Linked DNA regions of Caenorhabditis elegans. The protein of the gene in region 1 interacts with the protein of each later gene in a pairwise test. Each region holds a gene or a part of one and is shown on either strand. Other genes may lie near its edges.

Evidence for each region. Proteins that work in one complex are often made in the same cells at the same time.
Region 2: the proteins of F26G1.1 (region 1) and klp-15 interact in a two-hybrid assay, tested with the Caenorhabditis elegans proteins (one large-scale study listed by BioGRID).

Annotation. Positions count from the first base shown.
Region 1 is NC_003280.10:4,789,838-4,796,172, reverse strand, and holds F26G1.1 (VPS35 endosomal protein sorting factor-like), read right to left. Parts: upstream 4,556-6,335; 5' UTR 4,552-4,555; coding exon 4,338-4,551; intron 4,292-4,337; coding exon 3,918-4,291; intron 3,861-3,917; coding exon 3,720-3,860; intron 3,673-3,719; coding exon 3,537-3,672; intron 3,492-3,536; coding exon 3,405-3,491; intron 3,359-3,404; coding exon 2,875-3,358; intron 2,426-2,874; coding exon 2,266-2,425; intron 2,171-2,265; coding exon 1,751-2,170; intron 1,700-1,750; coding exon 1,502-1,699; intron 1,451-1,501; coding exon 1,263-1,450; intron 1,218-1,262; coding exon 1,068-1,217; intron 983-1,067; coding exon 862-982; intron 816-861; coding exon 663-815; 3' UTR 505-662; downstream 1-504. Other genes in the region: C33F10.4 (Alpha_adaptinC2 domain-containing protein), read right to left, coding at 211-408; F26G1.15 (Neuropeptide-Like Protein), read right to left, coding at 4,866-4,972, 5,038-5,146, 5,786-5,857.
Region 2 is NC_003279.8:5,576,566-5,581,108, forward strand, and holds klp-15 (Kinesin motor domain-containing protein), read right to left. Parts: upstream 2,630-4,543; 5' UTR 2,617-2,629; coding exon 2,463-2,616; intron 2,332-2,462; coding exon 1,544-2,331; intron 1,497-1,543; coding exon 1,061-1,496; intron 1,014-1,060; coding exon 628-1,013; 3' UTR 505-627; downstream 1-504. Other genes in the region: rmh-1 (RecQ-mediated genome instability protein 1 homolog), read left to right, coding at 1-72; ctnb-1 (Beta-catenin-like protein 1 N-terminal domain-containing protein), read left to right, coding at 3,101-3,157, 3,200-3,760, 3,805-4,008, 4,053-4,161, 4,225-4,469.

The sequences.
Region 1 (6,335 bases):
AATTTTCAAACATTTTTAAAAAGGGGTTGCGCCTTTACAGGTTACTGTACTTTCAAATTGTCGTTGCTGCAGAAACAAAAGTTTAAAATTACAGTGCTCTTTAAAGGCGCACGCCTTTTCGCATTGAAAATAAAATTGTCGTGACCAGGGGAGATACCAAAAATGAATTTTTTCGCATCTTCGTAATATGAAACTGTGCTGAAAACCCACTTCAACAGCTAAATCATCTAATTTTTTCGATTCTTCTTTCAACTTTTGATATTTCTCAATTATCGATTTTCTATCCATCGTGTGTGATGACGTCGGCGCTCCCGCATCGAATGAATCGTCGGAATCAATTTGTATGGGCTCCGTGTCCATTCTATTATCGAAGCCTCCAAAAATATCATCGTCGCTTATATCTGACATTTATCTGGAATTGAGTTATAGTTACAGGGGAAAAAGTGGTAAAAGAAAATAATAAATGGAACTGATCCAATTAAAAATATACCAAATAAACGTAAATATAAGAAAATTGAACTTTTTTTTTAAATATTTATAACTAGTTAACTGCTATTTAAAACAATTAAAATATCACATATTAACAACTGATGTTATTTTTATTTTCCCGTAATTTTAGACAAAATAAGTTAGACAATAATAAGTTAATAGGCACTGACAAATTATAAAAGTGATAATCTCTGAAGAATATCTCGGACAGTTTCATCGTGACTGGCTTCATTCCGGAGATCCTGAATGATTGCGTCAAGGCGTTTTTGCAAATGAGCAGGCGAGCCTACTGATCGTTTCAGAAGACCTCGGATCGTGGAGCGCATCTGAAAATTTGAGGGTAGTTAAGATAGTTAACGGTTCAGTGAATACCTCTTCATGAATTTCAAATAACATGACAACATTTTCCAGTGTAATTACTGCAATGGTTGGGTCATTGGCGAGTGAGAATAGTTTTGTGATGACGTCAGAAATGTTGCAATCCACTCGAATTCTGGAAAATATATTTTTAGATTATTTAAATTTCAAAGTTGTCAATTGTTTTTCTTGAATTTTTCAAAAATTTTTTAAAGACTCACAAATGATCATCATCGCCGAAATGCAATTTTTGACTGCTATCTGCTCGAAGTGGATCAACTTTTCGGCATGTACACAGGTAACGGAGCATATTGATATAAATCTCTGCCAGTGGAACTCCTTTATACTCTTTTGACCATTCTTCGTGATTTCTGAAACATTTTTAAATTATTGTTCACAAATCTCAATAAATTCACCTTTCAACAATTGCAAGTATTTTCGAAAAATGCGAAAGAGACGGCATTTCTTCATTAAATCCTTCTGGGCAGAAACTGAGTGTTGCGAGGAACTGACTGATGAGAGGGGATACTGTAGCACACACAGAAGGACCGTTTGTGCTCATTTCGTCGAGATATTCTATCACACGCACACTCGACATTTCCATCTAAAAGGTTTATGTTTTATTTATATTTTGGCAAGCTTGTTGGAAAAATACTTGAGGAAGAAAATTGGCAAGAAGGCACATTTGAATGTTTTGCACAGTCATCTTGACGCGTCGGGACGGATCTCGGACAGCTGGGATTGTAAGTGATAGATTTGTGATGCACACTCTCATAAAATCCGCTTTTCGCTTTCCAGACTTTTGAGTACGATGGATGAACTGTGTGAAATTGAACAAAGTTTCAATGATGTGCTGTAAATATTTAAGTTTTTTTTTTCAAATTGTTTCTAATTCAAAACTAACAATTAAACTATTCTGCCGTAATCCCATGTCTTCTCGACATCTGACTATTAATTCAATGCATTGATCCAAATTTGTAAATGCTTGGAAATCAATCAGAGAAAGTGAAGAGCAAACAAGTTGCTCCGCAGCTTTGACTTCTTCTGATTCTTCCAGTCTATACGCTTTGCACAAAGTTCGACATTTCTCAATAATGAATTGACAGGCAGATATATCGGAAATCGTGTGGCGTGTGAAGGTTTTAGAGAAAATTTCCAAAATTCGTCGAGAACAGTCTGATGTTGATTGAATATCATAACCGATTAGATCTACTATTTTGATGAAACTATTTGACGTGACAATGTCCAAACAATCAGATTTATTTGCATTATGTTCCAGGAAGGCGGCAATTAGATTGATGAGAAGAGCCGTGTTTTCTGGCTTCTGAAAATTTTAATATTTTGGTAAACATTTTTATATCGGTGTAAATACATTTTCGGGTTTTTTGTTGTAAAATCTATTAAAAAACCGAAACTAACCTTAGTTTGATCATCAATTCTGAGCCGAACCAAAACCAATTCCAGAATCTTTGTGACTTCCTTCAAGGTGTAATATTTTGTAATATAAGATGTCCATGCAGCACAGCAATCGACAAAAGTTTGAAAATTCGAAATATCTGCTACACGCATCCATACTGACCTGAAACAACTCTCAAAACAATAGAGAGAAGTAGAGATAATGAGAAGGCGAATTGAGTTATACTTTAGACGGAGACAGCCGTTTGTGAGCAAGTGAGCACAATTTCGGTCACAAATAGACACAGACGTTATGTTGTGATGACGAATGTAGGGGAATTGGGGAAACGTGATGCGTAAGGCAACGTTTTTGATCCAAAAAAATTTTTCATGTCAAGAAGGAAAAATGGAGGAAATTTCCTTTTTGTAGGGGGAATATTCTCTCAAAAACATTTTTTAAGAACAAAATTTAGAAAAAGTCTGAAATTAGACCAGCCATAAACTTTTTTGGGAAATTTTTAAAGACCATCTCGAATATAATAAAATACCAAATGTTTCTGATCGGCTATTTCTCCTTAATTCATAAATTCGGATTTTTTTTGATTTCGAAAATAAATTTAGCCACTTATTTACTTTTTCACAAATTTTCTATTTTCCTCGATCGGCGCCATATTGAGATATCGTTTTCCGAGACGTGTGAGCGGTTCTTCAAAATCTTCATGTAATGCAAAAATAATATCCAGTACTTGTTCAGAATGCACGGATAAATATTTCGATGGTAATCCTTCTATCACAGCTGACACCAAAATAAACGTTTTCTCATCAAGTGGAGAAGTTTTTCGGCAGTATGCAAAAAGTGGAACAAGATCATCAACAGTGTGAGCTCCGTGAGCAACACATTGAACAATCCAGGAAACTCCTTGAATTGAGACTGCTTCTTTTCTGGCGTCCGCGAGTGAAGTTTTCTTTCGATGGAGCTCTTCCATAACATCTTTCGGTGCCTGCATCCAATCATGTAGAACTCTCCAGTGAGGAGTACGATTTAATGGATCAATGAGCATACTGTAGCGGGTTATGTGAACTCGAGCAAATATTGAAGAGAGATCATCGTTGAATTCTGAAATTATATTGATGGGTTGAATTTTTTGAAGAAAAAAACCCACGGGAGCACATTATAGCGAGGCGTTCCAAATTTATTGATAGATTTGCTGCATCGAAAAATTTCAGACACGCAATCATCGAGCATTCAACTGAAAATATTTCAATTTTTTTCTTATAAACTGAGTGGTTCTTACTATAAAACCGAATTGGAATATCTATAATTTCAGATAATTTCAGAAACCAATTCATTGCCATATCCTTCACATTTTTCGGTACCTGCTCCACGGTGAAATTCGCAGAAAGATCGGTTTGACCGTTTTTGTTTCGAGCCTGAAAATATTTAATATGATTTTTAAATTTTCTGCTCATTTTCATACCTCGTTTGACTTTGCAAGTAATCGATCGTAGAGTAATTTTCCAAATGTATCAACAACATCAATTGCAAGAAGCCAGTAATATGGATATTCTTCCGATTGTGGAGGTATAGACTGTAGAAGATTTGCCGATTCAATTACAATCTGAATTTAAATCATTTACTTATTAAACAGTAATTTATGTTATTCTGAAATCCTTACTTTAAATGATTCTACTCGATCTTCTCTTCCCCATGCGGTAATTAGATTTTCCCTGAGAATTAAAAATCTCTGCGATACATCTCCAGCTTTCTTCACATTTTTCAAATTCTTCTCATCGGAAAGTGATTTCAGGCGAGCTCGTAGAACATCAATTTGTGACATTCCAAATTCTTTTGGTTTTGCAACCAGAGCAATTTGAGCTCGTTTCTCTCTCCACGCTTGAAATTCGGGCAATTCTATGTTGAAACTCGAGTGATCGGATCGTTTGTTTTCAAGAGTGTTATCCAATGAAAAACTACGAATTGATTTCGTACTTTGCTGTAATATGTCTCGATCAACAGTTTCCTCGCCGTCTGCAGCTCCAAATGTAGCGCCTGAAATTTAAATCTATTTGTTTTTCTTCAAATTCGTCTAACCGACCAAGAGGATCTTCAAAATCATACGTTTCTTTTCCTTTTTCTTCCGATTTCTTCGATTCTAGTTTTTTGCTTTCCCATTTTGTCCAAAACGCAGCTATTTTATTTTTAGTTTCTGCGTCTTCTAACGGGTGTTGAACGGCCGGAATTACCAAATCCGGGTCGGTTTCGAATTTTCGGGCGGCGGGTCTAACTTTCCAGATTGACTCGGCCGCCATACCTTAAAAATTGAAAAATAAAAAATTATCCAGTTCGTTTTTAAGAAAAATATAAAAAAATATATAGAAAAACAAGCAAAAAAAGCAGAAATTGACTCTGAAAACATAAATAAATATATTGTCCGAGAGGAGTACACGGCCGGCGGCCGAGTCGGATGTTAGGCCACAGTGCGCGGTTGTTCAAAATAGGATTTTCCGCGAAATTTCCACTGATTTCAGTTTGTTCGTTGTATTTTTGGCATTTAAAATGAATAGTTTTCAAGAATTCAAACATGAAAACATGATAAAAACTTTATTAATCAAAATCTCAGAATCTATCGACCGAGCCACGCATTTTTCAACAAAGAATTTATCTGATCAGCAGTCACTCTTTTGTCCATTGTCCCACCGTCCGCCAACGACTCCCAATTTGGAATAACATCTGAAAACATATTATAAATTTTGAAAGTTAAACTGATCAAGCTAAAAATAAGTAAGCTAACGCACCTTCATCAACTTGTCTGTCGATTTCGTAGCGAAAAGGGACCCAATTATCATGAGAATACATTTGGTTGTACATCAGAATTGGTGAAGGATCATAGTCGAATCGTTTAGTCTGAAATTAACAAATAAAAACTCGAATTAGTGCGAAAAAAGTGCAAACATTCACCCAATTAGTACTGCAAGCTTCAAAACGCTCAACGAATCAAGTGGGCGTGGCCAAACGAGACTCCGAATTCCGCACGGCAGTTTACAGTTCTACGTGGCGTAGAAACCCCTAATTTTTGACTTTTGCGCCAATAATACCGTAAATGGTCTCGACACGACAAATTTTCATCGAATGTAAAATGGTGTGCTCCTTTAAAGAGTACTGTAGTTTAGACCTTTAGTTGCTACTGAATTTTATTGATGTTTCACAATTTTTGAGTAAGAATGTATGTATTTATGTTGGAAACTAGTATTAAATTCTGAAAAACCTTTAAGTTGTTAACGAAATGCGAAATAACAGGGAAAATTCATTGAAATTTCGAATTGCCACAGCATCGAAAGTTTGAAGTTACAGTACTCTTTAAAGGCGCACACCGTTTTTAATTTAATAAACATGTGTCATTTACCTGGTACCGTATTTTTAGCTCAAAAAACACAAAATTTTGTCTCTGGATAGTTTCAAAGGTGTTGATTATTTAATTTTTTTTTAATTATTCAAAATTGTTTTAAATTTAAAAAATTACATTAAAAAATAATAAAGTCTAACCTGAATATAATACGAGAAGACAGTGTTGCAAAAGTAGAATAGTAGCAATACGACAAATGTAAAAACCGTCATTTTGAGAGCGGACCACTCTGAAATGAAAACGATGAAAATTGATGGAAATATGTTCAAAGAACGAAATTATTAAGTAAAATGAATTGAAAATTATATTATATTTTATGTGTTCCAAGCATACACAAAACAATAACATTTTTATCCAGGAGCGGCAGCAAGGTCCATGTTATTTTCATTTTATTCTTATTTTTGGCCAACAGCGTCAGCACAACTAATTTCAGAATGGAGGAGGTCCAGGGGAGGGTCTTGAAGGCAATAATTAGCCTGATTAGTCTTCGAATACGTCATTCTGTTCATTGAGAACAAGATTTCTGATTTTCTTTTGGAACATTTTGGAGAAGAATTAGTTTGAACTTGACACGCGAACAATCTTTTTTTCTTTTCCGAAAATTGTTACGTGATGGATATATCGGTGTGGTCTGAAGACCCCATGAGTCTATTTTGTGACGTCATAAAATTACCAAAAAGGTCTGGAAAT
Region 2 (4,543 bases), on another chromosome or scaffold:
TCACCAGAGCGTAACCAAATTCCGCTCATTCTTGACGTGAAAACGATTTCTGATGCTCTCAATATTTTGTAATTATTTCTATTGCTTGCTACCTGAATTCACGTGTACCACAATATAGTCATGTATTATTTAATTGTTCTTGTTTTTTTGTTGTTTCCAAATACAATACAACTGTTTTAAGCTTTTTCTTTCGTTAAAATTTCTTTAAAACAGAAATGTAACAAAAAACATAAATTTAAACAAACTGTATGGAAAACTGTACAGTTTTCGATACAACGAGAGTTTGAAACTACAGTACTCTTTAAAGGGTCATGCCATTTTCGAATTCATCAAAAGTTCGTCGGGTCGAGACATACATACTACAGTAAGAAATGTAATATTCTCATAAAGCTCAAAACAATGTATTTATAACCCAATCAACAGCATTTAGACCGGACTATATTTTTCCTATCGGGATCTCCCTTTGTTTTGAAACAGACGATTAAAACTCAAAAAACGCAAAGTAAAATTGAAATTCGTTCATTTTGTTAATGATCGAAATATTTAGGTTACATCAGTATAAAAGGTTTGCATAAGGCAATAAAAATAACGTTATTTTACATGAAATGTTAGAATAGAATTATATGTCTAGTTCATAGACATCTGGGACACGTCACCCAAGAGAGTCCGTTGCTGCACGGCCGATCCGATGTTAGTACTGCGCATCTTTGAGGCGAATTCGATGCTTCTCTTGGACTCTGTCGCTTGCTCGTTGCATGGATTGAGATTGACCACAACCATAGTCTTCGAGTTGCCACGTCCCAAGCAGTCCATCAGCACTTGTGTCAGTTTGCTGTCGCGATATGAAACATGTCCCTTCTGGGATCTTTGCTGGCTGATGCACATCTGAAGGATAGACAACGACTGGTTGATATTAGTCATCTCCTTGAACTGGTCGCCACTGACACCAGACTCCTTGGCACGTTCGGATCCTGCGAGATCCACAAGTTTGAGCTGGCACGATGTTGAAATTCCTGTATATCAATATTGTGAATTAATTATTTTTATTTTCGAAAGTTACCAGTTGATGGCTGATGAGCTGTAATCTTCCACATATAAACGGCGTGCGAACGAGACGAGCTCTCATTGCACTTTGTCGCCGCCGTCTTCCTGCCACCGTCTGCTACACGAAGAAGTCTAGCCACATCCGAGACATTGGAAATCGTGTGCTCGGAGAGCCCAATCATGGAAACCGTTTGATCGTTCAAACGAAGTTGGACAACGGCGCGGTCACTGAGAAGGTCGTATGCCACGTTGTTGTAGACTTCTAGGAAAGACAACGAGAAGTCGAATTTCCATCCAAGTGACTCGAGCTTTCTGGATTCGGCGAACAGAAATGCAGCTGCTCTCGGGATGATTCCTTCCTCTTCACCATTTCCTCCTCGCATCGTGTGAGTTTTGCCACTTCCGGTTTGTCCATAGGCAATCAATCCGACGTTGTACCCATGCAGTGACGACTGAAATTATCAATTTTCAATTATTAATATTATATTTTGAAACTAACCCGAATGAACTCCTCGACGTTCGCGAACACTTCCTTCTGCGAGAAGACTGGCGTGAAAACCTTCTCGAATTTGACCACAATTCCAGGCTTCGAGCCTTCATTGATTCTGATGGTATCGATAGCCGGATACTCAATTGCAGAACTCGAGGCGTCGGCTTCAGATTTGATCAACGGCCGAACGCGAACAGCCACACGAATTTGACCGCGTAAATCGACAACATCGTTGTGCAACTTTCTCAACTCAGCTTCCTTTTCGTTGAGCAGATCCCGGAGATCGTTGTTGTGCACACGATAATCCTCGCACTCCTCCACTTTCGCCTTGTTGACTTCTTTCAGCGTGCTCAATTGATCTTGCAGTGAAATCAGCTTGCGATCCGCTCCTTCAAGTTTGCCATCCAGGATTTGGATCTTGCTCTTCTGATGTTCAGCAAAGTCGGTAGCCTCAGCCATCGCACTCTCGAGCTGCGCAATTTTCTCTTCAAGAAGCGCCATCTTAGAAGGGAGAATAGGCTTCTGTGCCACTGGTCGGGCTCTTGTCACCGACGGCTTCAGGGAAGAAGTCGCAGTTGAGCGTTGAGTGGATGGTGGCGGTGGACGACCTGTGCGAAGTTGTCGAAACGTAGAAGCTGCCGTCAGTGTGGAAATACGGCTCGCGGTGGATTGCATCGTTGGTATGGGACGGGAACACGACGCTGGTTTGGCCATCGCTGATCGTTCTGGCAACGATGCTCTACCAGTTGCAGGCGTTGTGGGGGTAGGCAAACGAGACGGAGGACGACGAGCAGCGGCTGAAAACTCGTAATTAAAGTAGTTGTTAACAAAAAAGGTTTTAAACAAAAACAAAAACATGTTTTATTTAGAAGTGTGAACACTTTGAAATCACGAGGAAGTTATTTAAAAACACAAATGACAAATTTACCTCCAATCGTTATTCCTCCAGGAGCCGACTGTCTTGGGATTGTTGTTGAATTGGCTTCTTTGGTGGATGGCGCGGCAGCACGTCCTCTTGTGATCTTCGGCGTTGCTCCGATAGTCGACCGAAACAGGCCACTTCTTCTTCGAGCGACATTCATCGCGAAATTTGGGACAAAAATGAGGAAATCAGCCCCTTCATTGACATTTTCCCGCTCAAAGTTGAACTCCGCCTCTGAAAATTCCCGCCAAATCGAATGGATTACCGTAGTCAACTACGGTATTAGATCAAAAATTTATATCATGTTGAGCTCATCCAGAATTGTCGGATATAATTATTTTGTTGTCAAAAGGCATAAAGAATGCCGTAAAAATTATTTATAACTATAACACAGAAGGCTTATCCATAATTGCACTGATATCAGGTTATACAAACAAATATATAAAATGCAGGTCTAGAAATTATAATGTGAGCGACACTCCGATATTCCGGTGCGCGCCTTGTTTACCGTATATCTACACCAAAGTAATTGCAAAAAAAAAATTTGAAAATATTTGCTTGCGAAAATTTTTATACACTTTCTTCAATATTTTGATTTTTCTGTGGTTTTTTAAAAATATAGGTTGGTAAATGATTGTTTCCAGATGACTTCTATCGATGTAACAGAGATTATCAAATCATCGACATCTTCTTTGTATCAGGTAAATTGATATTAAATTTTTTTGATTATAAATAGTTTACAGCCAGCAAGAAAGAAATCTCGTTTTGACGATAGTGCTTCTTCTTCATCTCAAGCTGGCCAGCCAAAACCAGAAGATATTCTTGCGGCTTTGGAAGCCGATCAATCAAATTATGTGGCTCTCGACGATGTGCAAGTTAAGAAACTTGTTATTCAACTTGACAAAAAGATGCGATTAAATCGAGAACAAAGAGTTAAAAATCCAGATGATGCTCAGAAATTCATGGAATCGGAAATTGAATTAGACAAGGCAATTCAAGAAATGCATAGTCTGGCTTCTCAACCAGACCTTTATGGATCGTTTGTTGAAGTCAACGGAGTTGAAATTCTTCTTCAATTATTAGGACACGAGAATACTGATATTGTGTGTGCAACACTTAGTCTCTTGAGAGAACTTACAGACGATGATGTGATGAACGAAGGAGAAGATGGAGCAGCTGAACTTATTGAAAGTCTTGTGTCTGGATCGATTATCACAACTTTGTTAGCATGCGTAGAGAGGCTCGATGAAAGCGTCAAAGATGAAGCGGATGGCGTCCATAATGCACTCGGAGTTGTGGACAATGTAAGAAAAATCGATATTTGAAAAACAAAACAATATATTTTCAGATGATTGGTTTCCGCGATGACATTACTGAAGAATGCGTAAAGCACGGATTCACGGTTTGGCTTCTGAAAAGATGCTTTCAGAAAGGTGCATTTGATGCGAATAAGATGTACGCTTCGGAACTTCTTTCAGTCATATTGCAGACTTCTGATACTGCAAAGGCAAAGCTGACAGAGAAAATTGATGGCATCGATATTTTATTGAGAGTGAGTAGCCAAACAAAGTATCAAGAATAAATTGAACTTTTAAGACCATTGCTGTGTACAAAAAGAACGATCCAGCAAATGTAGACGAACGAGAATACATGGAAAATCTATTCAACTCACTTTGTGCCGCACTTATGCATCCGGCTAATCGAAGTACGAATTTTTTTGAATATAAACACCAAAAAAATTGCTCTTGTTCAAAATAAATGTTTTCAGAAAAGTTCCTCGACGGAGAAGGTCTTCAATTGATGAATTTGATGCTCCGAGAGAAGAAACAAGCAAGACAAAGTGCTCTGAAAGTTCTGAACCATGCAACATCAGGAGACGAGGGAATCGAAAATTGCAATAAACTTGTCGAAATGCTCGGATTGAGAACAATTTTCCCGTTATTCATGAGAACACCTTCAAAGACAAAAAGAAAGGATACGACACCTGATGAACATGAAGAACACGTTTGTACGGTAAGATTTATGTTGTGATATTATTTTGAATGTTTTAGCTTCAAAATTGGACTGGTAAATCGGACTTTCGGTTT